Astyanax mexicanus: one gene and its partners. The protein of the gene in region 1 purifies or fractionates together with the protein of each later gene. This does not show direct contact. Links are inferred from orthologs where the notes say so. Each region holds a gene or a part of one and is shown in the gene's direction. Other genes may lie near its edges.

Evidence for each region.
Region 2: the proteins of ezh2 (region 1) and pabpc4 purify together in Homo sapiens (affinity purification with mass spectrometry, with the first as the bait; 3 studies listed by BioGRID). This does not show direct contact. The link is inferred for Astyanax mexicanus from reciprocal best matches to the Homo sapiens genes EZH2 and PABPC4.
Region 3: the proteins of ezh2 (region 1) and smarca1 purify together in Homo sapiens (affinity purification with mass spectrometry, with the first as the bait; 3 studies listed by BioGRID). This does not show direct contact. The link is inferred for Astyanax mexicanus from reciprocal best matches to the Homo sapiens genes EZH2 and SMARCA1.
Region 4: the proteins of ezh2 (region 1) and constitutive coactivator of PPAR-gamma-like protein 1 purify together in Homo sapiens (affinity purification with mass spectrometry, with the first as the bait; 3 studies listed by BioGRID). This does not show direct contact. The link is inferred for Astyanax mexicanus from reciprocal best matches to the Homo sapiens genes EZH2 and FAM120A.

What each region holds. Positions count from the first base shown.
Region 1 is NC_064408.1:92,430,441-92,438,802, forward strand, and holds the start of ezh2 (histone-lysine N-methyltransferase EZH2), read left to right. Parts: upstream 1-5,000; 5' UTR 5,001-5,413; intron 5,414-8,362. UniProt on the Homo sapiens protein: Polycomb group (PcG) protein. Catalytic subunit of the PRC2/EED-EZH2 complex, which methylates 'Lys-9' (H3K9me) and 'Lys-27' (H3K27me) of histone H3, leading to transcriptional repression of the affected target gene.
Region 2 is NC_064421.1:41,826,682-41,834,581, reverse strand, and holds the start of pabpc4 (polyadenylate-binding protein 4), read left to right. Parts: upstream 1-4,791; 5' UTR 4,792-5,323; coding exon 5,324-5,519; intron 5,520-7,900. Other genes in the region: zpcx (zona pellucida protein C), read left to right, coding at 490-575, 666-754, 1,226-2,210, 2,802-2,823.
Region 3 is NC_064408.1:35,517,951-35,526,327, reverse strand, and holds the start of smarca1 (probable global transcription activator SNF2L1), read left to right. Parts: upstream 1-5,268; 5' UTR 5,269-5,371; coding exon 5,372-5,428; intron 5,429-7,932; coding exon 7,933-8,013; intron 8,014-8,127; coding exon 8,128-8,294; intron 8,295-8,377. Other genes in the region: gab3 (GRB2-associated-binding protein 3), read right to left, coding at 1,999-2,082.
Region 4 is NC_064431.1:32,840,463-32,848,603, forward strand, and holds the start of constitutive coactivator of PPAR-gamma-like protein 1, read left to right. Parts: upstream 1-5,032; coding exon 5,033-5,506; intron 5,507-8,141. UniProt on the Homo sapiens protein: Component of the oxidative stress-induced survival signaling. May regulate the activation of SRC family protein kinases. May act as a scaffolding protein enabling SRC family protein kinases to phosphorylate and activate PI3-kinase.

The sequences.
Region 1 (8,362 bases):
AAACCTTATCTTCAGGGATTAGCATCAAACAATATGTTATTTTAACCTTTTATTAATTTGACTGATCAAAACCAGGAAAATTTGGTTTCCCTCCAATATCCTGTCCATGTATAGTAATAGTTATTGTTATTTATGGTCTCAGATATAGTTGATCAGCCCATATGGGTTTGGTATTTGATGTGAGCTTCCTTATAAAAGGCCAATATTGTTAAAGGTTTTGTATAGAATGGCACTAATCACACTTCAGTCTTACTGTGCATCAACAATTATACCACAGTTCTATTATTGCTGTTTATTGAAATGTTTTGAGTTAAAGAGGATGAGAAAATATGTTACATGGAGACCCTCGGTCACATTGCATTACAGACTAAAAACTGCACTCATAGAACGCCTCTCAGCCAATCCCATTGCAGGGTCAGAACTAACTGGTTTAATAGTTACTAATAATTGTCATGCCAAACATTTTGGTAAATATACATTGGAAAATATTGTTTGCTATACAAACCCTTTAAAAGCTATGCAAGTAAGCTACCAAAGGTATTTTGTAGGTTAATAAAATGATTTACCAAAAAAAAAGCACTAATAGACCAAGTAAATGTTTAAACTGGAACAGTTATTCAATGGCTGTCTGTCTCAGCTGTTCAGCTCACCAGAGAACTTAATTTTGTAAAGTAAGTCATAGCCTGTTCAAACCACATCAGTTTGTCTTCATCAAATAAATAAAGCTGTGGATGTGTTTTTTAAATAGGGTAAGAATGAGCATCTACCCTTTATGAGCATATAAACAGCTTCACCGTGCTGGTTGACCAGCATCACCAAGCATTACTAAAATAAAATGCAACATACACTATGCTGTTCAAGAGCAGGTTAACCAGCTAGCTCGCCACATAGTGCATGTTTTCACCTTGGTGATCTGCTTTTCAACCACATTGACCATTGAGGGAGAGATTAGACCTTCTGAAACCAGCTACCACCACAAGCTGGATTTTTCAACTGGGTATAATTTATGGGAAAAGTGGACTTTTAATTAGTAACAAAAGCTTTAGTGTATTAAGGGTGGGGACTCTATGTACAGGCCACTTCATAAGTGCAAAATTAGACTCCTGTTTTGCACTTCTTCTAACTGATAATATTATTGGAAATACCTACATAGTACTACTTTAATAGATACAGTGATGTTTCTGTAAGGTTGATATTTGGTCCCACACATAATTTCCAGTACTATACAGAGAAGCGGCTTTCTGGAAAGAGACCAACCATTGATGAAGGACTAGAGGACAGCTAACTTCCAACTGCATAAATCGATGGGCTACAGTCTGCAAGGGAGTGTAATGGCCATGTACGTCAACACATGCCAATTTATTGGTCTAAGCTCTACATGGTCAAAATACGGCCATTCAGGCAAAACATACCCTATACTAATAAGCATGCTGGTTTACCAGAATAGCAATTTGAACTAAATCTTCCACAATAGGTGTCTATAGAATAGAATACAACCCCTGGCAAAAAGTATGGAATCACCAGTCTTGGATGAGCACTCCTTCAGACATTTCATTCTGTAAAACAAACTCTGATCAAAAACATGATACAATAATAAGGTCATTCCAAAGTGCAACTTGTTGGCTTTCAGTAACACTCAAAGAAATGAAGAAAAAACATTGTGGAAGTCAGTGAATGTTACTTTTATTGACCAACCACAGGGAAAAAAATATGGAATCACTCAATTCTGAGGAAAAAAGTATGGAATCACTCAAATTGAAGGTAGAAAATAAGGACACACCCAGTCAATTTCCTTTCCCTAAATGGACACCTGCCTCAGATTAGATCTGCTCGTTAGTCTGCAGTTAAAAACACCTGCAGTCATGACACCTTGGAGGGCTGCTGGACGAATTAGAGTGGCAAGAACCATGGCTCCAACAAGAGAAATGTCTCTTGAAACAAAAGAGAGGATTGTGAAACTTCTTGAAGAAGGTAACTCTTCACGCATGGTTGCTAAAGATGTGGGCTGTTCACAGTCAGCTGTATCCAAGATATGGACCAAATACAAACAGCATGGAATGGTTGTTAAAGCCAAGCGTACTGGTAGACCGAGAAAGACATCAAAGCGTCAAGACAAGCAACTTAAGGCCATTTGTCTTGAAAACCGAAAAAGTACAACTAAACAGATGAAGCATAAATGGGAAGAAGCTGGAGCCAATGTATGTGACCGAACCGTAAGAAATCGCCTAAAGGAAATGGGATTTCAATACAGGAAAGCTAAAAGAAAACCATCATTGACACCTAAACATAAAAGAACAAGACTGCAGTGGGCTAAGGAGAGGCAATCATGGACTGTGGATGACTGGATGAAAGTTATCTTCAGTGATGAGTCAAGAATCTGCATTGGACAAGGTGATGATGTTGGAACTTTTGTTTGGTGCCGTTCCAGTGAGCTTTATGAAGAGGCCTGCCTGAAGAAAACAACCAAATTTCCACAGTCCTTGATGATATGGGGCTGCATATCAGGCAAAGGCACTGGGGAGATGACTGTGGTTAATTCTTCTATCAATGCACAAGTTTACATTGACATTTTGGACAGTTTTCTCATCCCTTCAATTGAACAGATGTTTGGAGATAATGAAATAATTTTCCAAGATGACAATGCATCGTGCCATAGGGCAAAAACAGTGAAGGCATTCCTTGGAGAAAGACACATTCAGTCGATGTCATGGCCTGCAAATAGTCCAGATCTCAACCCAATTGAAAACCTGTGGTGGAAATTGAAAAAAATGGTCCACAAGAAGGCTCCGACCTGCAAAGCTGATCTGGCAACTGCTATCAAAGAGAGTTGGCACCAAATTGATGCAGAATACTGTTTGTCACTCATCAAGTCCATGCCTCAGAGACTGAAAGCCGTTATAAAAGCCAAAGGTGGTGCAACTAAATACTAGTGATGTATTTTGAATCATCTTTTGTTTATCTGTTTTTCATGATTCCATACTTTTTTCCTCAGAGTTGAGTGATTCCATATTTTTTTCCCTGTGGTTGGTCAATAAAAGTAACATTCACTGACTTCCACAATGTTTTTTCTTCATTTCTTTGAGTGTTCCTGAAAGCCAACAAGTTGCACTTTGGAATGACCTTATTATTGTATCATGTTTTTGATCAGAGTTCGTTTTACAGAATGAAATGTCTGAAGGAGTGCTCATCCAAGACTGGTGATTCCATACTTTTTGCCAGGGGTTGTAGAATAGAATTCTGTAAAAGAACTTGCTTAGGTTGTACAATTTTTAATAAAGGGATTATTGTGCTGTATATTTTACTAAATACAGAAGATTGTATAATTTGTGCAACTGCATATGAGATTACTGGTCTTTGTAAAGTAAATCCACAGCTAACCAGTGAATTTAGAATATACATATAAATTACCACCACGTGCTTTCGCAGGTTTGATGTGGAAGTTTTGAAAGCTGACAGCTCGGTCAGGCGGGACAGGCACATTTTGCATTGCATGTGGACGTCATTGCCTCGTTATTCCACGCACGAGCATACGCGCCAATGTTTTTTTTTAATTCAGGCGATTGTTTTTTTTTCCCAGCATTTTATTTTTACTCAGTAACGGGGAGTTTCCCACTATAGCAAAGTAAATTACTTGTGTCAAAATGAACTTAAGTAAAAGTAAAATTACCTATTTTAAAAACTACTTTAAAAATGACAAATTACTCATAAAATCTACTCAATTACAGTAACGTGAGTAAATGTAATTTGTTACTTTCCACCTCTGGTCATGTGACATCACGTTCAGTAGCTCCTCCATTTCCACTCGCTGTTGTGTTTATGTGGTTCTCTGTGGAAACGCACACCCAAAGGCATAGCAGGACCAAGGAGTTCAGCAGAAAACACTAGGTAATTCAGCCTGTAATTTTCTTATAGGACGTCTGAGAAAAACACATACATGGTACCCCAGGACCCCCTGAGAAACTAATCCTTTTAAGATATGGCTCTAGTGAATGAACCCCCCCCCCCCCCCCCTATCCCCCAAGCGGTAGAAAAGGGCTTCCATTCTCAGCTATGTTGATTACACTTATAAAAGCTGTATTTAAATATTTATTACAGATTTATTGACTTGTTGCTCTTAAATGATTTGACTACATCTCTGATTAACCATATAGTTTTTTAAATATACCTTAAGCAATTAAATTTGAACTGGATCTTCCACAATTAAGCCAAAAACACACTAAAAGGGGAGAGGAAAGGCTGCAGTTGGCCAGGACTCGTAATTGTGGGTTACCACAGTGGGGAATAACGGTTCTGTGGGGAGAAGGCTGGATGGTTTTCCCTCCTAAACAAAGCTGATAATCCCCATAAAATGGCTTTATGGAACTCTGACGTATCACAACGTATCAGGTGGGCGTGGCTTGGCGAACCGGCTGACCCAAGTTCAGTGGGTCCAGTAGAAATATTTGGGGATAAAAAAAATTGACCTTGTGTTTATATTGATACTATACAAACAACAGAAGTGCAGACTTAAGTTTAGAATCACAATAAAGCTGAAGCACCAACTAACATAACCTACATGCTTATCTGTTTAAAAAAGAGAGAAAAAAACAGTGTATGCACGGCAAAGGCAACGTGCATAATTATATATAAAACTAATATACTATCGTTTCTATTCTATAGTATAATGAAATACTATAATCATTATAATAATGCACTATAATTTGTGGATGATATAAGCGATATATCGGCATTACAGTAATCATGCGCTGCGACAGGCAGCTCCAGGCCCCTCGTGCTGCAGGTGGAGGATGAGAAGAACAGATCTGAAGCAGATCTCTCGCTTTGAAGCTGTAAAAAGTGAGTGTTTGTTAAAAATGAAGAACAAAGAGAGTTTCTCCACATGTTCCCCACTTCGGGCCCCGCCGCACAACCGCTTGCTATTGGACGCGGCGCGCGTTCGTGCTGGCCAATGAGCGCCCGCGTCTGTGGGGAGCTTGAGTGCGGCTGCCCGCGATTGGCTGCGGGGTTTGGCGGTCGGCGGTTGTGCAGTAGGCGGAGAGAGGAGCGCGGAGAGCGGGCAGAGTTAGAGCGGGAATACCGGCGATTATTGAACACAAAGCGGAGCTGGGTGAAGCAGAGAGCGGCTCCAACCGCGAGTCTTAGGTGTGAGGAGATCAGACTGGAGCGGAGGAGGCGGGAAGAAGCGACCAGGCTCTGTTTGAAGCCCGAGTTCGTTCACCGGTGTCGGAAAAAGGAGAGAAAGAAAGAAAGAAAGCGCCTCCCTCCCTCTGTTCAGTGAGAGCTGTTAGCGGGGTTAGCACTAGCCTTAGCTTAGCTTTAGCTTTTCTCTGCTCTGCTCCAGGCTGCTCCGCTTTTCTGACCGAAAACAAACAGAGAAAAATCACTGTGTTTAATGTGGACTGGACTCCTGCAGGTAGGTCATCACAACACACAGCACCGGTCACTAAACACGCTGTTCTCGAGCTGTCTGTGGGCTGTGTGGAGGCTAAGCTAACGACAAGTGTTGAAGAGGAGCTGGTGAAGAACTCTCTTATATACATACAGCTCTGGAAAAAAAATGAGACCACTTCAGTTTCTGAATCAGTTTCTCTGATTTTACTACTTATAGGTGTATGTTTGAGTAAAATGAGCATTGTTGTTTTATTCTATAATCTGATGTGAATTACTCCCAAATTCCACATAAAAAGATTGTCATTTAGAGCATTTATTAAAACTTTATGAATATGAACTTATCTTTGTATTATTTGAGGTCTGAAAGCTCTGTATCGTTTTTGTTATTTCAGCCATTTCTCATTTTCTGTAAGTAAAAGAGAGAAATCAATATTTGGTAGGATAACCCTGGTTTTCATTCACAGTTTTCATGCATCTTGGCTTGTTCTCCTCTACTACTTTATGCCACACCTGGTGCAAAAAGTCGAGCAGTTCAGCTTGTGATCATCCATCTTCTTCTTAATTATATTCCAGAGGTTTTCAATTTGGTACAATCAAAGAAACTAATAATTTTCAAGTGGTCTCTTATTTTTTTCCCCAGAGCTGTATATCCATAGTTAAGTTACTGAATTCACGTGTTTATATTTATAAAGTACGGTTATGATTCAGAGTAAATGATGCTTATTTAGCCCTGGTTAGCTTTATATATTATTATCTAGTGATCTAAACCTAGTTAGAAAATAAAACTGAAAGAAATGACACAGACAACTTGATTGATTTTTTTATTTTGGCTGGTTATTGATCCCTGTTTATAAGTGACAGCAGTCATCTCCACTGAGAGAGTTCTTCTATTCATATAGCAAGTAACATTTATTTATCGGACTGTGTAAAATATTGTGTTCATAAATACAATACAAAATATAGCTAGCTAACACTTGCTTCTCACTCTTGAAACACACATCATTAATTATGGACAAATAATACAAATCTAGGCTTCACATATGTTGCTGATAAAAAAAACAGATTTTATTTTCGGTTAATTCTAGCTAATGTTTTTATGATCTGTACAATTATTCATATATGCTGTTTCTTGATGAATATATTATTTTGCTATAAAAAAAAGTTTTAAAAGACTAGTTTTTATTCAAAGTAACACATGATGCCTTTGAAGTAAAAACAAGGAATAAATATAAACTTAATTCTGTCCAAAGGTTAAAGGCCACATTAGAATGTAAAGAAAATATGAGCCATGTGTTTATCTCAAGTATTGCTTACATCCCAGTTTTTAGTTATCAGAAAATTGCATGGATAGATCTTATGGAGAATATTAGTGTATTTATTTTGCTTTATTTGGGATGTATATTCATATACATGTCCTATAGCTAGGTTAAGTTTGTCCTTCTGTTTCTTACATTTTCCTTTCTCTAAGCTTTTAATGTAGCTAGCTAATTATGTATTGAGCATGTTTTGTTTTATGACTTAACTTACTGAATTCAGTGTTCATGGTTATATTTGCTGAGAAACAAAACAAAAAACTGTAAACTGACAGTGTATAAAGAAAGTGGTTTAAAAATAAGACTGACAGAATTGTCCAGACTGCAGCAGATGATTTGTCCTGTGTTTAGTTGTTTCTTTGGACAGTATACAGGACAACACGCAGAGCATCAGAACACAAATATATGAATCATTGATGAGCAGCTACGGTGTTTCTTGTTTTTTTATGATCTAGGTCTGTTTGTTTTGATAAATGAGAGCTGTTTTGTTCTTGTGTAATTTTCTTATTAATGATATTTAACATTTATTTGGTTTATTCTTAAGACCGCCATGTTGTTGTTTCTTTTGTAATGCTGTTAATGTTTTTTTTTGTTTTGTTTTTTTCCTCTTCTCTTTTTACTTGAATGCAGCAGAAGATGCAGGATAGGATATCAGAGGAGGGAAAATGAATTAATTTGATTTGATCTTGTGACAAATCGATCCTTAAAAAGCACACACTCACACTGTGTGATTTAATTATGTTAGCTTTGTGCCTCTTCCTGTGGGGTAATACAGTGTGTGAGTAGTTTTAGCAATACAGCCCACTTTTATCTTCTCTGGTGTTTCCGCTATGCATATTTGAACTGCTGATTTTAGTCTTAAAAGAACTGCAGAATGAGCTGTGATACAAACCAAAGGTCATGTTCACAGCAGACTGTTCCTCTTATTATTACTCATTTATCTTTATTTGTTCTTATTCAGTCTTTTCAACAACGTTTGTTCATCATATACAAGTGCAGTTACAGTGAATGTTAATTTAAGATTGTACACAGAGTAAGAAGCACTGCCAGTTCTGGCACCCAGCTCATCCTGTTTGTCTGACTCAGTGGTTTTTATTCAGCACTTATGTTAGACTTGCAGATGGCTATTTCTATTTTTGCTGCAACATTTTTCTCTGCTCGTACATGTTCAGATGGAAAGCCTGGACGAACTTGCCCACAAAGCTGTACTTGTGAATTTGTCAGTGTTACTTAACGCCTAGTCAGCGTCTGTCGCATCTACTTTCAACAGGGACAGAGTTGTTCAATATGGTAGATGAAGACATCTATACCAGCGCAGTTCAAGAACATGTGCTTTAGCTTAGTTCTTCATGACTAATTAAGCTTAGTTAGGTTTGGATTATAACTAGCAATTCTGGGCTTTTTTGGAGAGGTTTGGGGATGATTAAATGAGCACAGTGAGACAGGAGCACTGCTGGTTTTAACAATATTAACATTCAGTGTAATATTTAAGGCTTCACCTTAAAAACACACTTTGGTTGAATACTAAACAGGAACTTTCTTCAACACTATGTAAATTTGATAACCTATGTTTGTCAGTGATTTCAGAGAAAAGGCAATCGTAAAACTACAAGTAAAAATATTCAGTACTTTGGCACCAGAAGACCAATTCCTAGTAA
Region 2 (7,900 bases), on another chromosome or scaffold:
TTGGAATTTTATGTGGGAACCAGTCAAGTGTATGGTAGGTACATGCCATGTATCTACTCAATTAGCATTTAGATGAGGCTGCCTTTTTTTTTTTTTTTTTTTTTAATATATATAATATAAAATTGCTTTTCTTTTAATTTATTTAGCTAACTGGTCCTTGTGTAGACTGTCTACTGCTATAAACCCTCATTCGATTTACTTTGACTAAATACGTCAGCAAGTATCAGTTTTTTCCTTGGTCAAATCAAGGAATCAGCCAATTTTTCTTAAAAAAAAAAAAAAAGCAATTCTCGCCCAATACTGAGAAATTTGATGCCGTTGTGTGTCCCTATTAAACCCTTTCAAAAAAAGATTTACTTTTTGAAAATGGAAACCACTACTAAGTCACTTTAGTTACACAAGAATTGAGATGCTGACCTACATAATTTAAAAAAAAAATTGTTTATTTTGACTGTTCGAGCTAATCTTGTCTTGTGCTGTAATCTGTAGATTTATGTTCACTGTGTTGTGGCCCTCTCTGATCATGGACTGACTCCAGACACCAAGTCCTGCAACTACGTAACTGACAAATTCAGGTATGTGTAAACTTTTTAACTTCATGTAGGCCATATCTGTGTTCTGTGACTAATGCAGAAGCATAATGACAAACTTGTTTGCTGTTTCAGGTGGGTGGAGTTGGGTGGCCGGACTGACGTATGTGAATGCTGTGCAACAAAATGCAGATACCCCTCTGAATATCCGGCTTCTTTTGGTGGTCAGTATTTATTGGTTGCGCCAGTCGGCTAATACTCATGCACTAATCCCAGAATACTCCAGTTAAGAGTTTACGTGCACCAAGAAATGTCCATTCCATTTTTAATCCAATCTACTTATGTTTACATCACTACTTCAATCATCAAAAAACTGCAGTAATTTGGTAAGGATGAGGGTCATACTGCATCTCATGCATCAGTTTCAAATATTTGATGCCACATATTGATGTATTGCAATATTGATTATTTTGTCCCATCCCTATTGCGTTGTTACGTAGTGATCATTCTCTTAGCCAATTGTCTCTTTGCAATATTTGTTTTAATCCACACTGTATGCTTGAAACTACAAATAAGTAAATTATCAACTTTAAACTACTGTAGTTGCCATGCAGTTGTGGATCTGACCCCTCCATTGTTGTAGTCCTTTGTAACAGGACTGAGCATGTTATTTAAAGCAATGTTCTTGTTTTCAGAGTTCAAAGCAGTGGTGAGCACTGGTCCACTATCAATCAAGGAACAGGAACTTGAGAAGCAGCCGCTGACTGGCAGAACTCCCACCATTTCCAATAGAAGACCCTGGATCTTGTCTGGTGCGTCTCCATCAGGAGCATTGACCTCTTCAACTGGAAAGGGTTGGATTGTCTCTGGAGCATCTGTGTCTGGCAGCCCTAAGGTCAACCGCTCCCCCTGGCAGACATCACCTGTAACTGCAGATTTGGCTGTAGGCCGAGGCCTAGGAGATGCTTTGTCACTCTTGCTACCAGGGCTTATGATGGGTGTTCAGTCTAGCCCAGTCATTGAGATAGAAATTGGCTATCCTCAGAGGAAGGGTAGAGCTGATCTTCTATCCGGTCAAAGCAGCGTTCCAGCTGATGTGTTTTGGAGGAAACCAGAAGCCAAATTTGAAGCAAGTCTGCAGAGAGAAGATCCACAGCAGGTGTTTCCAGCAGTTAAACCTGCATATCAAGAACTTTTGGGCATGGCTGATGGGTATCCTCTGGCTGATGCCCCACATTTACCGAGTGGTGGACACTATGCAGAAGCTCCTCAGCCACCTTTGGAGAGCCTTCCTGACAAGCCTGAGGAGGAACTGAGGGGTGATGTGTTCACAAATTTTAGAGAGCCACAGCTGGAGAAGGTTTCCTCAGGCGAGAACTCTGTTGCTTCTATGTATGATGTGCAAAAAAGTGATGTTCCAGAACTGATTGAAGACCACGATGAAGGTGATGTTCTGGTTGTCTCTCACACAGAACTCTTGTTTAAAAAGGCTAATGCAGATGTACTGGATAAGCCTGAGTTTCTGAAGAAGTCAGAGTTGACTTTTAAGGGAGTTTCTGATGAATCAAGCTCACTTGACTATGCAGAAGAGCAGGGGACGCCTGGTTTGGATGATCGGGAGGAGTCGGCAAAACTGAGTGCTAAGAAAGAACTGGTGTCCTCCCTGATGGCGCTAATGAGGTAATGACGTTTTGCTGTACATTAAACTTTCATTTTGGTAGTTTTCTGCCCAAACCTTTGTTTGTGCACTGTACTGGGGCTGATGTAATTGTTGACCAGATTTATAGTTAACATGGGAGCCAGAGCCAAACCAAAATTCTGTATTTTAAGCACAATTGTACAAGAAGGGTATCTTGCTGAAAAAAGTCTTAAAGTGCTTTACTGAGCTAAACTTTAAACTTAAAATATCTCGGAATAAATGAATTAAAATCTAAATTTAAAGTGTAAGTGTTTTTTAAGGGCTTCACATTGAACTGCGTATGGCTCAATGCCTTATGGACTATCCTCTATTGCAGTTACATACCCCTCAGATGCTTAACACCTGTAGTGTGGTCCTCTAATTTTAGTTGACCATGTGCTACTATGCTGGTATGTCTTGGAGTAACTACACTAATACAGTTTAGATTTTTTGTTTTTTTTTTGTACATCAATGGCTAAAATAAGGTCTGAATGGCAAAAAAAAAACTACCGTTTCCAACTGTCAATAATATTGGTTACATTTGGTTCTTGTCCTGTTTACACACTGACCTTTCCTTTTCTCTGTGCTTGCAGGAAGCTGAATAAGATGTTGTGACCTGACTGAAGTACTGCTGTACAACCATGAAAGCTTAAACTGTGTAAATAAAATGCAAATTTGCAAACTCATTATGTTGATTCCTTTACTTCTGATGAAAGACTTTGTTCATTTTGTGACCTGAAGTTGAACAAGGTGTCCAAAAGAAGTGTTTAAATAGCTTATTGCGATATTTCTAAGAACACCATTGTAATTGGTAAACATGAAGACATTCATTCGTTCGTTGCTTAATTGGTTTTAAACCCTGCCCACTAGATAGCAGTGTTGCACTATTTAGATCCCGTCAGGGTGTGAATATTATACAATGATGCAATCTAGACCTCTACCCATTGCATTTAAAGGCGTAGACTATCCAAAAATCTAAATGTCAGATTTGTTCCCTTAAATTATTCATTTTACAAAAACAATTTTTATAAGTTAACATATTGATTTGATGCATGAATATTTGACAAGGTATCTGCAGCACCTCAGTGATTAACTAATTTATCTAGAAATGATGCCTTTCTTTGTAACTTTTGATGTAAATGTTTTTGTGCATTGTATTTGTACTAAGTTATAGTTAGTATAAAGATGGCATATCTGATGTGGAGAGAGGGAATGGGCAGCTTGAGGAGATGAAGGATAGAGCAGCAGGTAGACTGAGGAAAAGAGGTGTGAGCCAAAGACTGATGCTGAATGCACTGCAGAACGACAGACTGCGTTGTGGAGGAGCTTTGGGCCAAACTGGACTCTCAGAAGCTCCTGGATGCTGACCGAAAAGTAGCATAAGCTGGAAAGAATGGAGAAGGAAAAGAACCCTGACCTGGAGAAGGAGGAGGAAGGGCAGCAGAAAGTGGTGTCATACACACACTATCTATACACACAGATTGTTTTTGTTGGTTGTGTCCAGTGCCACAAATGACTAGACTCATGTTCCTGTCTTTTTTCATATATACTGTAAATATACTGTATTACTGGCCCTTACCACTGCCTGTGGCCCATGTGTCCTGACCATAGACTGTGTATAAAAAAGACCTGACAAACTGCAGCAACCCCACATGATTAGCCTAGATCAATTCAAGTGGTGATTTTTTTTTTCTTGGCCAGACAGAGTATAAAATACTAGGGCAGAGATTTGAACAAAACATACTCTAAAGTGCTCCATCAAAAGGTCTCTGTGTGCTCAGGACTATTTTTTTTCTTATTTTCTTTTCATTATTACTTCTTTTTTTTTCAGGACAACCTATTTATTTATTTTTTATTAGATTGGAAACTTTACCACCTGCTCTGTGAAGCATTTAGTTGCTTTCATCAGGGTCGCTGTTAATTTGCAGTTTCTGAGGCTGGTAATTCTGATTAATTTATCCCATACAACAGTGGTCACTCTTGCTCTTTCTTTCCTGGGGCGCTCTGATGAGTGACTGCACTTGAGGATGCTTTCAAAAAGATATTACATTTTTGGGATTGACTGACCTTTATTTCTTAAATCATTTTTTCTTTACTAAGTAAAGTAGTTATTGCCATCATATGGATTATAGCATTACTCAAATAGGGCTATTCAGTGAGAGCATCAGAGAAAACTTTTCACTGAATACCAACTCTACCTCTTCACAACTTTACTGATGCTCTCAAAGAGGCAAGAAATTCAAGTAATTAACTAAATCATTTAAAAATAAAAAATATTTTTTAAATCTTTATGTACTTATTACAAAAAGCAGTAGAAAGTTCTCAGAGTGTAATATGATGAATTTGTCAACAGAAAAGACACGACTAATTTATATACTGTATTACTGTCCACCTTCTCCGCTGCCTGCGGACCATGTGACCTGAGAGCTCAGATATCTGCCTGCAGGGGGCGCTGTTGTGCAGGCGGCTGAGGGAACAGAACAGCTGTCACAGATCGCAGCGTCCCTCTCCCTTTAACAGCGCATTCTTGGTGTGTGTGTGTGTGTGTGTGTGACCGCTCCTTGCTGCACTTATAAAGCTCCCATGCGTTTCCCACGCGCTCTCTTTCCCCGGCCACCCAACCGTGAGTGTGTAACTCACTCCTCTTTAGTTACCTTAAAAAAATAAAAAACATATAAAAATTACAAAATACAGAAAATCTTCATAAAAAAACCAACACCTCGCGGACTAAACCAAAAAAAAAAAGGAAAAAACAACAACACATTTTTATTTTTTAATTTTTACCAAGCGTTTTATTTTCTCTCTCAAAGTCAGAACAGGCCTCTGCGCGCTCCGGGACTAATTATTCTAAGTTTTTTTATTATTATTATTATTATTATTATTATTTTTATTTTTTTGGTTTTTATTTTTTTTCAGGACCACCTATAATTTTTTTTATTAGCTCGGAAACTTTACCACAGGTAACAGCAGCGGAGCCGGGCTAAACAGCTCTATCCCTCTCTCTCTCCCTCTGCTACACGCACACACTCACTAACACACACACACACACACTCAGCCCGGACCCTCGCGCTCCTCCGCCGCTCCGTTTTCAGCCGGACACCGAGGACCTCGCGCTATGAACGCGGCCGCCGCGGGGAGCTACCCGATGGCCTCGCTGTACGTGGGAGACCTCCACCCGGACATCACGGAGGCCATGCTGTACGAGAAGTTCAGTCCGGCCGGCCCCGTGCTCTCCATCCGCGTGTGCAGGGACATGATCACGCGCCGCTCGCTCGGCTACGCCTACGTCAACTTCCAGCAGCCGGCGGACGGTATGTACGGACACGCTGCAGGCTGAAGTGTGTGTCGGTTGTGTGTGTGTGTGTGTGTGTGTGTGTGTGTGTGTGTGTGTTCCGTTTGTGCGGTTGTGATGGTTGGGAGCACATGTGTGTGTGTGTGTATGTGTGTGTGTTCAGCTGTTTGAGGTGGGTGGGGGATATGGAGCTCTGATTGTGTGTGGTGGACATTCAGCAGACTGCTTCTGTAGTGGAGCACGTGTGTGTGTAGCAGTAACTGTAGGTGTATGGCAAGCCAAATGGGTCAGAATTCGCCTGGGTCTGACGGCGCTTAAAGCGTGCGAAATACTTAAAAAACGCCGTCCAAAACGCCGTGCAGGGCTTACTTTTACGCCTTGGAACAAACGCGAGGCGCCGCCAGGCGTTTAAGAGCGTGTGGCGGCGCCAGGCGCTTACATAACGCCACCACGCGTTTTCATAACGCCTCCAGGCGTTCCATATGCAAAAACGGACAGAATATACATATCCCCTCCTTCTCCAAGCAGTTCAGCCCTCTGACTCTGTCAGGGAACTATATCTCCTGTTAAAATAAAAGCCCCCAAGTGCTTCAAATGTCTGCTGTGTTATTAGATGTGCTAGATTCATGTATTTCTGGCTAAACTGGGCTTTGCAAAATGTAGTCCCTGATTAAAACATAACAAAATGTAATCAAATGTACTTATTTTTTATCAACTCTTTCATTGCTGGCCTATTTAGTAATCATGTTTAATTTGTCTGATGCTGCAAGACCTGAGCCAGCCAACACACACACACACACACACACACACACACACACACACACACACACACACACACACACACACACACACACACACACACACACACACACACACACACTCTCTCTCTCTCTCGAAGGCATTGGGGATTTTAATAAAACGCGCAATACAGAGACCACCACAGCATATAAATGGAGAAATTAGGAAATCAACCGGACACACAAAATCCAGCAACACATTTAGCAGATCTGTGTAGAGATTCTATACGTTTTAGGGTCACTCTTAAAAAAATAAAAACTGTTCACTATGAGATCGTAATATTCCGAATCATTCAGTATTCAAGGTATTCCTTAATTAAATTGTTTTTGATCATGGTACATCCTTATATTATTTTTTGCTTTCTTACTTTTTAAATAAAAGCCCTTTTTGTATCGCTGCCGCTCAAACGGGCAGCGTGGGTCTAAAATAAGCCACATTCATTTTCTATGCTACTTCAAGTATGGCTGTGTGGTTCTATGATATATTTTAGCAACGCATTAATTCCGTCGTTCAGAATTTAATTGACGAATTTATGAATGAGTGTTTCTTTTGCACAAATCTTCATTTTCATTCTCCTTACACAGGTTTACACACACGGGTCAGACACAACGCACATGAATTTACCATTTCACAGCTCAGCACAGCTCCCTCAGTACTGTTTTACGATAACATCACCTTAGAAAATATTTGATGCCACTAGTGAAAGATAACTGTATATAATATTTGATTAGGATTAGGTTACCATTAGAGTGAGAATATTACCTGTCAGAAAGTTACAAGTACGTATTATTAGATGTTGACATATTCTATTTTAGTTAGGTTAATATACTGTAGTACTTTGTTAGGCCATTTAGCTACAGGGTGTGTTTATAATAATGTTCTTGGTGACAGTAACTAAAATATTTTATTAATTTAAAGAATAAACATTTTTAATAAAATAAATAGTACAGTCTAATATAGGATAATGATAATAATAATAATAATAATAATAATATTGACATTATTTTGACATATTCTATTTTAGTTAGCATTCTGAATATTTTGTAGATTTTTTTAAAACTGCACACACACACACACACACTTTTATTATTACTATTATTATTATTAATATAATTTTATTCCCGATGGGCCGGGGCGAGTTTGGGCCGGTTGGACGGAAAAAATTATTTACCCTCACTTCTCTAATCTTATTCTTGCATTCATTGCCATTCAACTACGTATGCACTCTCTATTCGTCTGACAACACAGCCCCTACGTCGGGTTTAACCATCTGAGGGAATTCTCCTCTCCCAAATGTTTGAGTTGGTTGCGTCCACGAGTGGTCTTTTCTGAAGCGATCAAATTAAATGCAGCAACAGAATAGCACAAAGCGTCAGACGACTGTGATGGAGGGTAAAAAGAGGCCAGGTGGAGCCGAAAAGGCCATATTAAAAAAAGAAAGAAGATGGAAGAAGAAGCAGCCAAATGTGCAAAATTAACAAACTTGTTTTCCAGAAGACAGACTTCAGCTGCAGCCGGTAAACAGAGATATGGAAATAATCTTGAATCGTCAGCTATTGGGCAACGTTTGCAATGTCGATTTAGCGTAGTTTATTTTGTAGA
Region 3 (8,377 bases), about 57 Mb from region 1:
AAAACGGATTATAAATACTGTTTTATGCACTAGAAAGTAGTTAAATAGCAGTTTTAAGAACCTGCCACTGCTTATGGAGTAACTAGAGCTAAAGTTAAAGCCTGTTCTCTGCATTTCAAAACTTCTCTAAATACTGTGTATCATAAACATTTATATAAATATGATGATACAATGTTTTGTTGCTTAGATGTAATTATTTCACTGTAGAACTGTATAACACGGTCATTGTCATCTTGAAAGAAGTACAATAATGTTCATGTCTTAAAAGCAGACTTTTATTTACTAATTAACTTGCTTGAAACCAGCTAAAAATGAAACACAAGTTAAATTATCTACTAATATTTTTACATCATAAATTATTACCTAGATTATTTCGTTTGCAAATCATGTTCTTTGCCGTGTGTGTCCAACCATAGTGACTACACACACACTCCAGACCTGTTTTGCTGTCACATATTGTTATGATTGTCATGCTGTTGGTTGGGCAACACCTACAACATACTTAGAACCACCAACACTATTTCATTCCAAAACAGCTCATGAATACATCACAAGACCAGGAAGACGCTTCGGCGGAGTACTTCACGCTAATGCATACTTCACAGACCAATTCAAAACCAGAAAACAACATCTGAGCTCAATATTCAATGTAATACTGAAGAACATTCCTGAAAATGATATGAAATGCTGTTAAATGTAGCTTGTACTTAGTAGTTTGTAGTTCTATTTAGGAGAATGTTGTGTGTTGTAGGAGTATGTTGTGATAGTTTAGCCCATATTTGTACATTTCTATTTTTTTTTCAAACACTTTTATCAAGCAAAAGGATCAGGACAATGGAAACAAGACAAGTTACCTGTCCATGTAGTGCTAGATAAGGTAACTAGATAGCTATCAGAATACAGTGTGAGAAACACAGACACACACACACAGAATGTGAGAGATGATTGAACCACTCCACACAGTCTAGGTAGTAGAGTGTGTGATTTTTTAGGCATGTAGCTATAGTTAGCACAAAGCTAATTGGTGGGGTATAATCAGAGAATCTTCCATTACTTGTTAGCAGGATTAGCCTCAGGGAAAAAGAAACCACACATGTTTTGGAAAACTGACTACATCCATACTAAAATGGGAGTACCATTTTAGTCCCTCTATCAAATCTATTTTTTTTTTTTGATAAGAAACTGATTATTTTAATCAGATGTTTTAGGAGTGGTCTACCTGCATAATGTTGCCCAAAGACAACAGATGAAAAAAACACTGTTTTAGTAAGTAAATATAATAAGAATATAAGAAGCCAAATGTTTTTACACATTCTTGCACATATACATATTTGTATTTATGAACCAATTGTACAACTCATTGCATTTGAAGTAGATATGCCTTTTAACATTATATATTTTTAAATATAATTAAGGTATGGGGTAATACCCAACCATTTGGATTTGTTGTCTGAGGGCAACACTATGCCATAGAGGGTTAAGGCACATGTTTACCCACAACACAGCAGGGCAACAATGATTTAGGTGGTGTGAGACTGTGATGTGATGAACTGAATATAGGATAAATGAAGGCTTGTCAGTACTGATTAGTATAATTAATACATAAATTAGCTAGTTACAGTTTTAGGGCATCCAGAATTCACAAACACACACACATACACAGTTGAACTATCAAAAGCAAGGCATGACGGGTGTGTTTTTAGAGGCCAGTGAGCTGCTGATGATGGTTTGATACAGCACTGCAGCACCTGCTAGCCTCATACTCGCGCGCGCACGCACGCGCACACCCATACACACACTAAACCCAGTAAACTCAGGGTACCAGGGCACAGGGTTTTTCTTCAGCGTGTCAGTGAGTGATGCATCGGCGTGGTTGGTATTAAGCCTTTATCTGTCTTAACACAGTGAATGTATCTACAGGAACACCCACATACCACACACACACATACACACACACACACACACACACACACTAAACACAACAGTTTTTTTACTCACGTATCTCTTGAGCTTTTTCTCTGGCGGGGATTTGACGAGCCATCCGGTACACACCACGTCCCCTGAGCTCATGTCTGTGTCCATGTGTCTCTGTGTATGTGTTCTCTCTGTGTGTGTGTGTGTGTGTGTGTGTGTGTGTAGACTGAACACAGAGCAAATCCTGTGTGAAGCCTCCAGCGTCTAGATGAGGAACTAACTAGCTAGCACTGATCAGAGAGAGAGAGAGAGAGAGAGAGAGAGAGAGAGGGGAGGGGAAAGGGATGAGGCAAAGAAAGATAGATATAGTTCTCCAGAAGAGCCAGAGGAGTGGGAGAGAGTGTGTGTGTGTGTTTTTCTAAGCTTTCTTGTAAATGAATTGGAAAGAGAGATAGAGAGGACATGTACGTATTTGCATGCAGTGTTGAGTGTGTGTGTATGTTCTTTTTTCCTTCTTTGTGTGTGTGTATGTGTGTGTGGGTGGGTGGTTGGTTGGGAAGAGATGACCCTCCTATTAGTGTGACACAGTAGCACATGACCCTGTGTGTGTGTGTGAGTGTATATGTGTGTGTCTGTCTGGAAAATGCTGCGAAGCCACTTTTAATGGTTTACTGGGCCATCTGTTACTCAGAGAAGGAGATGGGAACTGTGCTTTATATGACATATGTCATACTACTATTACTACTACAGCTAGTGTAGTGCTACTACCATAAGTAACAATTGTATTAATACTTCTACTACTAATACTATTCTACTACTACTACTACTACTAATAATAATAATAATAATAATAGTACAATTGTACTAGTACTACTAATAATAATAGTTGTAAAATACTATTATACTACTACTACTGTAACTACTACTACTACTACTACTAATACTACTACTACTACTACTAATAATAATAATAATAATACAATTGTACTAGTACTCGTTTTAAAAATACTATTCTACTACTACTACTAGTGTAATAGTACTACCATTATTGCTACAACCATTAAGCATTAAATAGTGCTATACCCCTAGCACTTCTATTGCGACTATTTTACTACTGCAGCTTATGTTAAGAATAATCATATTATTATTACACTATTACTCTTACTACTAGTACTAGAGCTACTATTAGTATGAATAATTACATTCAACTAGACTACTACACTAATGATAAAATATACCAATAAATATACAACTACCATTACTACAAGTAATACAACCAATGCTACTACTACTACTAAAAATATATATAATAATAATAATAATAATAATAATAATAATAATAATAATAATAATAATAATAATTTGAAAGTCTTTAACAAATGTTAATTACATCGAAAAATAAATTAAATACCCCCACTAGCTCATTTAAAGCCAGTGACAGTTTAGAAATAACAATAAGCATTCAAACTCGAGAATTAGCTGGTTTTGTCGCCCTCTAGTCGCCAAAGCTATTTACAACACAGTAATAAAAAGGTAAAACAGAGGAATACATTCAAACTGTGATAATGAAGTTATCTGTTCAATTATTTAAATATTGCAAAACAACATCTCATTTGTACTTTGTAATAGTTTAGTCTCTAAATTAATTTGAGTCTTACCTAGTTCTTAATGTAAAGAAAAAAAGCTGGTAATATACAAGTGTAGATACAAAACCCTTTATTTCTGCAGTAAAATGAGTTATTTATATTCTAAAACTTTGTGAGCTTTGTAGGGATTCTCCCACAGACCACTTGGAGAAGCTGCATGTTCACTCTGTACTCTTGATAATTTATAATGATTAAGATAATAATTATAATTATTTATAATAATAATATCAGTTTTGAGAGGAATCAACCCCAAATTCTGCATGTTTGAAATAGACATAAAAAGAAGACAATTGTAACAAAATGAAATGTTTGGAGGACATGAAATGATTAATTCATATTTAGGGAAATATTTATTTAAAAATGTTAAAAGTTCAGGAAGGTGCCAATTTTGTGATTTTCATTCATAATTCTTATATTCACTTGACAAATAATTTAAAATCTTTTCAATTACTTTTACAGCTAATATTTTTAATAATGTTTTTTATCAAACATGAAAATTTTATATGTAATGCTCAAAGGGAAATCCTTAATACTGCTAAAAAAAATTCATTGGCTTAACTTCAAAAGTTATCATTTTGCTTTGGCTCAGTTAAGTTGTAAATACATAACATGTTAAGTTCATTCAACTTAACTCAGTCAAGTTATCATTTATACCAAGTATGCAAATAGATTGTGACAGAGGCCAATGGAAAATAAGCTGCCAATGACATTAGACTAAACTCAGCTATTATAAGTTGGTTATTATTATTATAATTATTATTATTATTATTATTATTATTATTATTATTATTTATATATGGTCCACTTGTGTCCACATTTATATATATTCCTTTTAATTAAGAAATGTTTGGTTACCCCGTGTCCTACAGTAATAAACCACATCAAATCCTGGATGTTTCTTGAGATTTCTTTGGAAATTATATTACTTTTCATCACTTTTTTCTCTCAGTGGGGCTTAGGTTCATATGTTAGGGAAAAAACTCCATGTACATATTTAAATATTTTGTGGTATGCATTTTTACTTTGATCAACATTGCAATTTGTGTTTATCGGCTCTTTTTTGTGGATAAAATCCCTACAGACTTCATTGTAGTATGTAATATTTTGTGGAGGTTTCCCCACATTTCCTTTTCACTACTCCAGACTGCATTCTATGTCACTGACTGTGAAACAATTGGGTAAAAAGCCGTTTTTAACATGTTTTGTTCCACTAGTCAAAATTATTTTATTGTTTTTTTCCCCTGTAAATCACCTTTATCAAAAACACTTCTCAGAATATACTTCATTTTATAGCTCATGAATTTTCATGAGCCTATGGCTAATCAGAGGCAGCAAACCTTGTCCCTTTCCTAAACATATATAAACGCTGATAAAAGAGCATTGACACGTATAGTATACCAGAAGTTGGTTGAAATCACGTTTGTTCATTGGCTCAACAAACATTTTTAAGTTTTCAGATTGAAGTTCTCTGAACTCATTTTATTGAGTTGTCCTGGCCGGTAAGTTCACTTAACTGGATTATATTTCTTCTCCTGACTAAAACACAAAATCACGTTTAAGAGTGAAGATATAGCTGTGTAATATCAGGCAGAAATTTGACAAAAACGCCGGCATGTTAAGGGGTTAACGAGAGTAAATCAGACTTGAGGGTTTGTTTACATCAATGCATTTCAAAATCTCGCGGTACTTCGGGGCTCTACCATCGCGATATTTCCCGCTGAAGGGGGCGTATGCCTGCCATGTCTGAAGCTGCGGCTGCGAGCTGTGTTTTTCTGTGTGAAACTCGCTGAGCGGCTCATGAGAGGCTAAACATGTCTGATGAAGAGGTGCCGTCAACCTCTGGGGAGCCCGGGCCCGGGAAGGAGAAGGTAAATCGGACATTTAACCGCAGAAACAACAAGAAGTCACAGAGCTGAAGTTGTGTTATTTTTCTCCAGCTCCATATTCGAATTTTCCGCTCCACCTTAAACTGGGCGGCGGTTAGGCTTTGGCGCCTGTTCTGAGCGCGCTGGCCCAGTACAGTAGTTTTTAAGGTGGAACGGAACATGCCAATATGGAGCCAACTTCAGCCTCCACAGCAAGCACAAGTTTTCTACAGCACAGAAATGGCGAATTTCGCTGGAGACTCAGCGCTGAAATACACCAATTAAACATTTCCCAACACAAACTATAAACTAAACCAAAACACGCAGATTTATATAACAACATCTGTCTCCAGCTTTCCTAACTCTGTCTCTGTCTGTCGTGCTGCTGCTGGGTGAGACTCCCAGGCCCAGATTTATCACATTAAATAGCTCCTTCGTTCTTGGTAATTTAGTTTGTGTGATTCTGGTTTCTTTCAGGAGGTCAGTCTGATATTGGTACTTTAATTAGCTGAATTTAAACCTGACACCTAATTTCCACATGAGTAACACTGTAATTACAGTAATCAATAAAAATGATATATAACGTTAGCTATATGCTCCACTACTTATATCATTATTCATGATTATATATTATATCAAAAGTTGCCTGTAGTAATTCTGGGATTTAAAGGTGTAACGTTATATTATAACTGTACATTTTTTTAAAAAATGCAGCTCTGGAAAAAAATAAGAGACCATTTAAAAATTATGAGTTTCTTGATTTGACCAAACTTCAAACATCTGGAATATAATCAAGAGGAAGATAGATGATCACAAGCCATTAAACTAAGCTGAACTGCTTGAATTTTTGCACCAGGAGTAGCATAAAGTTATCCAAAAGCAGTGTGTAAGACTTGTGGAGGAGAACATGCCAAGATGCATGAAAACTGTTATTAAAAACAGGGTTATTCCACCAAATATTGATTTCTGAACTCTATGAATATGAACTTGTTTTCTTTGCATTATTTGAGGTCTGAAAGCTCTGCTTCGCTGTTGTTATTTCAGCCATTTCTCATTTTCTTCAAATAAATGCTGTAAATAACAATAATTTATTTGGCATTTGGGAGAAATGTTGTCCGTAGTTTTTATAATAGAACAACGGATTCAGAAACTGAAGTGGTCTCTTAATTTTTTTTAGAGCTGTATAATCTGTTTTATGGTTCTTTCTGGACACATTTCATTTATTTTATTAGTCTATTCTTGTCATTTTAAAGGGATTTTCCAGAGAAATGTTTTACTGGGGGAATACTCTAAATGTATTGGGAAAACCTTGCTTTAAAGTGAAGTGTACAAATAAATCAATCCAAAAAATATTAGTAGTAGTATTGGTAGTATTAGTAGCAGTAGTATGTTTATAAAACATACGCTTGTATTAGTATTACAATATTTTCTACTGCACAAACAGTAAAATTACCACAATATTGCATAATATTAATGTTTCTAATACCATTGTACTACTATAAATATTGAGAATATTAGTAATAATAATAGTAATAATAATTTTTCACTTGAACAGTATTAGTCCACCCTCTCCACCCTAACAGCGCTTGGCGTCACCTGAGTTTTGATCATCGACCCCACCCTGCTCAACTGAACTCTATTAACAGGCTCTATAAAGGAGCCCCAGTTAAGAGTATTTTATTTGAACTCTTAGCTCTGAGTGTTTTATGTCTATTCTGTATCTGGTATTCTGACCTTAAGCTTTGATTTTTTACTACGTCTCAACATCGTCCTCTGATAACCCTGTTTGCCCGTGATTTGACCCTTATCTGTCTTTTGGATTGTGTGTGGTATAAGCTCTGCCTGCACTTGCATCCGGTCTCATTATTAGTTTAAGATGACAATTTTCTATGGCATGGGCAGTGAAAAAATCACAATGTTGCATAGTATTAGTTTTGCTTTTAGTACTGTACTACTATGAGAGCAATAATAATAATAATGATTATTATTATTATTGTTATTATTATTATTATTATTATTATTACTATTATTATTTTAAGACAGTTTAATAACCATTCCTAGTTCTACCTTAATGAAGTGAATGAGAGAATAATGAGTAAGCAAAGTTGGCATCAAAGCAAAAGATGTTACACTGAAGAAAAAAACATATTTTGGCCTGTTTAACACACTTTATTTTATAATTTCATATGAGTTTCTTCATAGTTTTAACGTCTTCACTATTAATCTACAATGTAGAAAATAATAAAACGTCCCTGTTCACTGCGCCACCACCAGGAGGTGTTCTGGGTTAAGGAGCAAAACATCTATGAGCGGTGGTCCCCAGCTGATGACCCTGCAGTTAGTAAACAAGACACCGGTGGAGGTGCTACATGCCTAAAGCACAGCAGGAAAACTTCTGTCTGTATAAATAAAAGAAAAAAAACATTAAATGAGCAGTGGCATGTCCTTGGTCTGGTCCTGTATAAAATTGGACGGTTTATGTGACTTGTGTTTGTGTATGTGTGAAGGATCCTCCGTTCCTGCTGGGCCCCCCTCCAAAAGCAGCAATAAAAGAAGGCACAGTGGACCCTGAATATGAAGAAAAAAGAGTGAGTGTTAATTACGAGTGTTATAATACTGCTAGGAATCACTGTCAATTCTGTGTGAATGAAAACACTTTACCTTATCTCCTTCTCTGTTTCTCTCTCTCTCTTTCTCTGTAGAAAGCAGACAGGGCTAACAGGTTTGAGTTCCTGCTGAAACAGACTGAACTCTTTGCTCACTTCGTCCAGCCAGCGAGTCAGAAATCCCCCACATCGCCCCTGAAGGTGCGGATGGGGAGACCCCGCACCAAACAGGATGAGAAACAGAACCTGCTGTCTGTTGGAGAGTGAGTCCAACACATACACAAACACACACACATATGCAAATTCTTAGGATCTGAATCAGACTTTCAGTTTCTCATGCTACAAA
Region 4 (8,141 bases), on another chromosome or scaffold:
CACCTCTTTACTGGTAGCTCGTGCCTGAACACTGTCCTCCAGATCTCCTCCTGCCTGCTGACATTCACCTCTATCTCTATCCTCTTCTTTCTGAGGATACTCTTCTTTCAATCTGTAAATTAAATAAAAGTTGAGTTCAGGAAAGCAGTCAAACCTTTAAATCAAAAGATTTGTTCTGTATTTTTTGATTATTTATGATTACTTTAAGAACTGTCCAATACACATATACTAAATCTTACAATTATGATCAAAAAAGGTACATTATATTATGAATTTAATTGATTTCCTGTGCTTTTGTAGATGCAGAAGATGTCAGTGCATGAACATAGCTTACTTTAGTAGACTGGTTGTGGTTTGATTGATTGTTTAGGATGCTGAGTTTTTTTTTAATCGAATAAGTGAATATTTATTTAATGTACAGTAGTGTAAGTCAATATTTAAAGAACAAATCATACTAATGGATTAACAGTTAGTAAAATAAATAAATTAATTAATTAATGTATTTGGTAAGAGAAAATGTTTATTCTATAATATAAACACATTTATATACATTCTACATTTGTAGAAATATGTCAAAATGTTTGTATTTTTATATAAACATATATGAATTTAAAAAAATATATAATGTATATTTTTTATTTAATTTATATATCAAAGTATTTTAGTAATTAACTGTGTTTAAACCAGTGTGATGCTTTTAAATGTGGTTAAATGTATGTGTATGGATGGCATTGTAATCTCACTGTATAAACACAGCATTGTTCCGTTCCACCTTAAAAGATGAAGACGGTCAGTTCCTCCATAGGTATGGCCTTAAGACTGTGTCGCCACAGCAGCATTTAAGGTGGAATAATAAATTAACAGTATTTAAAGCGGAATAGTAAATTAGCAGCAGTATTAAAGGTGGAATGGTAAATAAATTAGCAGTATATAAGGTGCAATAGTAAATTAGCAAAATATTAGGGGAAATGGTCAATTAGCAGTATTTAAGGTGGAGTAGTAAATTAGCAGTATTTAATATGTAAGGGTAATTTACTAGTATTTAAGGTGGAATAGTAACTTAGCAGAAGCATTAAAGGCACAATAGTAAATTATCAGCAGCATTTAAGGCGGAATGGTAAATTAGCAGCAGCATTTAAGGTGGAATAGTAAATTAGCAGAAGCATTTAAGGCGGAATAGTATATAAATTAGCGGTATTTAAGGCGGAATATAATTCAGCTGCATTTTTTGGTGAAATAGTAAATTAGCGGTATATAAGATGCAAAAGTAACTTTGCAGCAGTATGTAAAGCGGAATTGTAACTTTGCAGCAGCATTTAAGGAGGAATGGTCAATTAGCAGCAGCATTTAAAGCGGAATAGTATATAAATTAGCGGTATTTAAGGTGGAATTCACTCCAACTCACTATTTACACTTATTTGTTTGGAATGTATGATCAATAGACCTCATTAACATTAAATTATACACTATCTTGAGTACAAATAAGCAGAAATTCTGGATTATTTTGACTAATAATTAAAGAAGTCGCTTATGTTTACTCTCCCCCCCGCCTAATTGCCTAATTACCACACACACACACACACACACACACACACACACACACACACACACACACACACACACACACACACACACAGATTCTAATATTAACATGAAAAAAACTCTGATATAAAGCAGAACAAACGCTCAGCGTGCTCATAACTTACAGTATCAGATGAACACGAGCTCCTGTAATTAGCTAAACACAGGTGTGCAGCTCCAGGTGCAGGTCAGATGGAGGGACAACGGCAACAGCCAATCACACGTTAGCAACAAACGGCAGAGCCAATCACAAGGCTCGTGGGCGGTCTAAAGGGAAACAGGCCGTTTCCGCTTGGTCCTAATTCTTTTTTTTATTATTACTATGATTATTTTGTCATTTTTGTATTAATCCACTACTTTTTACATACCCATTGCATTGGGAGTGTCTGTTTAAAAAAAATATATATATATATATATATATTTGATATCGACTTTTTTATTTCATAAGCTATTGCTGAAGGTATTTTTTTAAGTGTTCTAAAAGCTGCTGTTTTTCCCCAGTGCATTGGGCAGGGCTAAACTTCAGTTCCAATGGCTTGTAAACTTTTTTATTTTCTGGTTCATGGTCTATTCCCATGGACAAAATGTCTCAAAAGCTCTATCCGAAAGAGATTTGTTTCTCAGCAGGTTCTGGGGTATTTTTCTCTTTTATGGGGGGTTTATTCATCTGGGACGTTTTTCTCAGACGTCCTCTGAGAAAATTACAGGCTGAATTATCTACTGTTTTTCTCTGAACTCCGTGCTCCTCCGGTAATTTTAGTCCCGTCCGGACGCACATCTCTGAGTTTCGTCTTCTCACGTTTAATACAATAGCTATTTGTCCACTGCCGCGCACCGTAATTACACTTTCGGCACGCCACAGTTTCCACAGAGATCCACATTAAAAACACAACAGTGAGCGGAAATGGAGGAGCTACTGAACAATACTCATGTCATGTGCCGAGAAAAAAAAGCCTAAAAACTTACTGGTCCTCTTGTTTTTTCGATTACAGTCTAAATGCAGGAGTTTTATCACTGTATAAATATATTTTTTCAATATTTTTCACAGACGTCCCCCAGAGAGACTATTCCCGTCCAGATAGGGCTAAAGAGTGTTATGCACCACAGAACATTTTAAGAACAAATGAAAATAGATGCAGTCCATTGTAATGGACGCAGGTTATGAAAGGGTTAATTGGGGGGTAAGACCCCCAAAATCCTCCATCATAACTTGCGCCATGGTTGGTAGCAGTTAACTATTAGTTAATTAATAAAACCACTAGCAATACATGCAAAAACATAAAAGTCTAATAAGATTTACGGTTCTAATGTTATTAAAAAAACATTACTCAACTAATGCATGTCTTATTCACTTCATTCTCTCAGAGTAGTGCAAAGTAAACCTCCTGTTTTTTATTATAATAGATCAAAAATATAAGCAAAAGGATTTTCCAAATAGCATCTATTTTTACCAGACGAAAAAACACTCGAATGCATGTCAATTCGTAATTACGACTCCCAAATTCGTAAGTAGGAATTTCTGAGTAAGACTTGAAGGCATCATTAGTTTCATCCACCCTGCGCTCACAAGTGCTGTAAGCCTTGCTGAACCATACTGTCTTGTATGGATTTTTTCTCTTTTACATCACAATATCTTTATTTTGCTGGCTGCATTTCACAAAACATAAAACTGAAAAGACGTGAAAACTGGAATAAAGGTTGGACTGGTCCTTTAACAGACTTTTATCCCACTAATGTGATGCTAAAGCACCAGGTCAGGGCTCCTCCTCACAACCTGCGTCACTAATAATGGAGCGTTCGATTCACTTTACTGAATCGATTCTCTGGAACTGTATGTTTTAATGAGCCGAATGTCTGATTTAATCAATTTACTGATTCTTAATTCCCAGCCTAGTATGAAGATGATGCATGTAGAGATTCGAGACATATGTTTGAAATAAGTTACCTTAAATATATTTACATTATTTTAATAAGCATATATGCAGATGAAACAATGTTTGGGAAGGCTTTTCCCCCCTTTATTTCATTACTTTATACTTTAATTGCGTATTTATATATATTATTTTATTTGAATTTACAGACAAATCTATACTGGAAAATACTGTAAAATTGTTAAAAATTATACGGCATCTCGCCATCTGTCTGAATACCAGAGGAGACGAAAGAATCCTCCTCTAAAAAGCTTCCAGAGATCCTGGAAATGTTTTAAAGATGTTGGCATTACATCACTCTGGCTACGCCCACAAAACACCTGAGCACCTGACACTTGTGTATGTGTAGAAATAATTCAACTTTATTAAAACACTTATGTGACTGTAGAACATATATATCATTACTTACATATGTTCCACATTTAACAGGATGACCATATATCTGCTGACTGTTTGGAGGTGCAGGAGAAGAGAAGTAGGAAAGGAGGAGGAGAAGAAGAGTAGGAAGGGAGGAGAAGACGAGAAGGAAAGAAACAGGAGAAGAAAAAGAGAAGGTAAGGAAGAGGAGAACTAGGAAAGGAGAAAGGATAAAAAGGATTAGGAAAGGAGGAGAGAAGAAGTAGGAAAAGTATGAAAGGAGGAGGAGAGGAGGAGAAGGAAAGGAGGAGATGAGGAGAAGTAAAGAAGGAAGAATAGGAAAGGGAGAAAGGGAGGAGGAGAGAAGGAAAGGAGAAGGAGTAGGGAAAGAAGAAGGAGAAGAGGAAGAGGAGAAAAGGAGGAGTAGGAAAGGAGGAGGAAAGAAGGATTTGGGAAGGAGGAGGAGAAGAAAGAAAGGAAGAGGAGGTGAGGAGGAGAAAAGGAGAAGCAGGAGGAAAGGAGGAGAAAAGGAAAGGAGGAGAGGAGGAGAAGGAAAGGAAGAGTAGGAAAGGAGAAGGAGGAGATGAGAAGAAGTAAAAGGAGAAGAACATGAGGAGGAGGAGGAGGAGGAGGAGGAGGAAAGGGAGAGTAGCAAAGAAGAAGGAGGAGGGGAGGAGACGGAAAGGTGGAAGAGAGGAGGAGTAAGAAAGAAAAAAGGAGAAGAGGAGTAGGAAAGAAGGAAAAGACAAGAAGAATAGAGGAAGAAAATGAGGAGGAGAAGGAAAGGATGGACTCATAAGAGCCGATTCAGAAGAACCGATTCAAAAGAACCGATTCACAGGAGCCGATTGGACTCGTTCATGCGTCACGGTGCTCCTGTCCCTCTCCCTCTCTCAGACATGGCTCCATAGGACTGCACATGGCGGCCAGCGGCCATGAACCCCCCAAAAAAGAGAAAACACACCAATAACTCACCAAAAAACAGCTAATAACAGCTGTTTATTCACTGATTCATCTCCTCCAGCAATATTCGGCTCAGTCTGTTTCTCCGGTGCAGGAGGAGCAGCAGCAGGAGCTCCTCTCTGCTCCTTTAATCCGGTTTATTCAGCTTTATTTCGCTTTATTTAGGATTTTATTTTTTATTAAAAACGCACTGAATCATCATGGGGGTCCAAGGTTTCCAGGAGTACATCGAGAAGCACTGCCCGAGCGCCGTGGTGCCGGTGGAGCTGCAGAAGCTGGCCCGGGGGAGTCTGGTCGGCGGCGGCAGGCAGAGGCCGCCCCAGTCGCCGCTCCGGCTGCTGGTGGACGCGGAGAACTGCCTGCACCGGCTGTACGGCGGCTTCTACACGGACTGGGTCAGCGGCGGGCAGTGGAACCACATGCTGGGCTACCTGGCCGCCCTGGCTAAAGCCTGCTTCACCGGCAACATCGAGCTGCTGGTCTGCTTTAACGGAGCCCTGGAGAAAGGCCGCCTGCACGAGTGGGTCAAGCGGCAGGTGAACGAGCGGCAGACCGCCCAGCAGATCATCAGCCACGTCCAGAACCGCGGAACCCCGCCGCCCAAGGTCTGGTTCCTGCCCCCGGTCTGCATGGCCCACTGCATCCGCCTGGCGCTGCTCAGATTCCGGATAGGAGTGAGTAGCCTAGCCGCTGTGGAGCCCGGCCTCGCCGGAGGATGTTTATGTGTTTACTAACTTACATCTAAATAACACTTTTTAATTTAACTTTCTTTAGATTTTAGTCTTAAATAAGCACTTTGAGCCTTTTAAAATCTTATGTAAGAGATGACAAAATATACTTTTTTTGGAAAAATCCATAAATCCATTAAAACACCACCTTATACCTGAGCTGGGTTGATTTTTCATAATGTAGGTTTAGAGCCAGGCTCATAAATGCTGACTTGAGACTTAAATTGTGAGTTTTAGTTAGATAAGTTTCAAATCAGGCTTTATGAGCATTTATGATCCATTCACAATCTTTTATATAAGAGATGACTATAAACATCCTTTATAAAAAATCCATCAAAACATCATCTTAGAACTGTGTTGATTTTCCATAATCAGCCCTAAAATATGTAGGTTAGCCAATGTCTCTAGCTTATTATATCTAGCTAACACTTAAATAAACATATTTTTCATAATGTAGGATTAGAGTCATCCCTTATATAAGATTTTCAATGAATCATAAAGGCTTATAAAGGCTGGTTTGAGACTTAAATTGTGAGGTTTTAGCTAGATAATTCTCAAATAAGCCTTTATGATCCATTCAAAATCTTATATAAGAGATGACTCTAAATATACTTCATGAAAAATCCATAAATCCATCAAAACACCAGCCTAGACTATAACTGTGTTGATTTTTTTATATTCTGCCTTAACATATGTAACTAGGTGTATCTAGCTAACATTCACAATTTTAGTCTCAAATCAGAATTTTTAAAGCCTTTTTGGTCCATTTAAAATCTTATATAAGAGATGACAAAATATACTTTTTTTTGGAAAAATCCATAAATACATCAAAACACCAGCTTAGACTATAGCTGTGTTGATTTTTCATAATGTAGGTTTAGAGCCAGGCTCATAAATGCTGATTTGAGACTTAAATTGTGAGTTTTAGTTAGATAAGTTTCAAATCAGGCTTTATGAGCATTTATGATCCATTCACAATCTTTTATATAAGAGATGACTATAAACATCCTTTATAAAAAATCCATCAAAACATCATCTTAGAACTGTGTTGATTTTCCATAATCAGCCCTAAAATATGTAGGTTAGCCAATGTCTCTAGCTTATTATATCTAGCTAACACTTAAATAAACATATTTTTCATAATGTAGGATTAGAGTCATCCCTTATATAAGATTTTCAATGAATCATAAAGGCTGATTTGAGACTTAAATTGTGAGGTTTAGCTAGATAATTCTCAAATAAGCCTTTATTATCCATTCAAAATCTTTTTGTTTTAACACAGCTAAATCTGGACAGTTTTAGTTCTAATCCCATTTTTGGTTGCATTTTACCCAACTAGTTAGTCTGTTTACCATCAAAATACCAGCTGAAACCTGAGCCGTGTTAATTTTTCATAATGTAGATTTACAGTCATTCCTTATATAAAGATTTTAATGGATCATAAAGGCTGATTTGAGACTTAAATTGTTAGTTGTAGCTAGATACGTTTTAAATAAGCCTTTATGAGCCTTTACGATTCATTTAAACCCTTATAGAAGAGATTACCATAAATATACTTTATGAAAAATACATCAAAATACCATTTTAGGCTTGAGCTGGGTTGATTTTTCATGAGTAATCTAAAAAAAATTTAACCTATTTTATGGTAAAAGTCTAAGATGGTATTTTGATGGTCCAAGTGTTTGTTATTCCTGCTTGAACACAGCTGAATCTGCACACTTTTAGTTCTAGACTCTGTTTACCATTAAAAGACAAGCCTAGGCTTGAACTGGATTGATTTTTCATAATGTAGATTTAGAGTTATCCTTTATATAAGGTTTTCAATGGGTCATAAAGGCTCAAAAAGCTGATTTTAGACTTAAATATTGTATTTTAGCTAAATATACTAAGATAATGTGCAGAGAGTCACTAGCTAGGTTTAACCAATGTTCTTTACTCTATCATGGTGGGTTTAGAAGTTAAACTGTGCAAAATCAGGTGTGTTAAAGCCAGAATAACCAACAGTTTAACCATCAGAAGACCAGCTTAGACTTGAGCTGGGTTGATTTTTATGATTAACCTTTAAAATATGTAACTAACTAGGTTAGCCAATGCTTGTAGCTAGTATATCTAGCTAACATTCATGATTTTAGTCTCAAAACAGATTTTCTGAGCCTTTTTGATTCATTGAAAATCTATAAAAGGGATGACCATAATTCTAAGATGCTCTTTTGATGGTGAAAGTGTCGGTTATTCCTGCTTTAACTCACCTGATTTTGCACAATTTAACTTCTAAACCTACCTAGACTTGAGCTGTGTTGATTTTTCATAAATCGTAGGTTTAGAGTCATCCCTTATATAATATTTTCAATGGATCATAAATGCTCAAAAAGGCTGATTTTAGACTTAAATATTGCATTTTAGCAAGATATACTAAGATAATGTACACAGAGTCACTAGCAATGGTTTAAAATGGTTTAGAAAATAAATAAATTGTGCAGAATTAGGTGTGTTAAATTGGGAATTACCAGCACTTTGACCATTAAAAGACCAGCTTAGACTTGAGCTGTGTTGATTTTTCATGAAGTAGGTTTATAGAGGT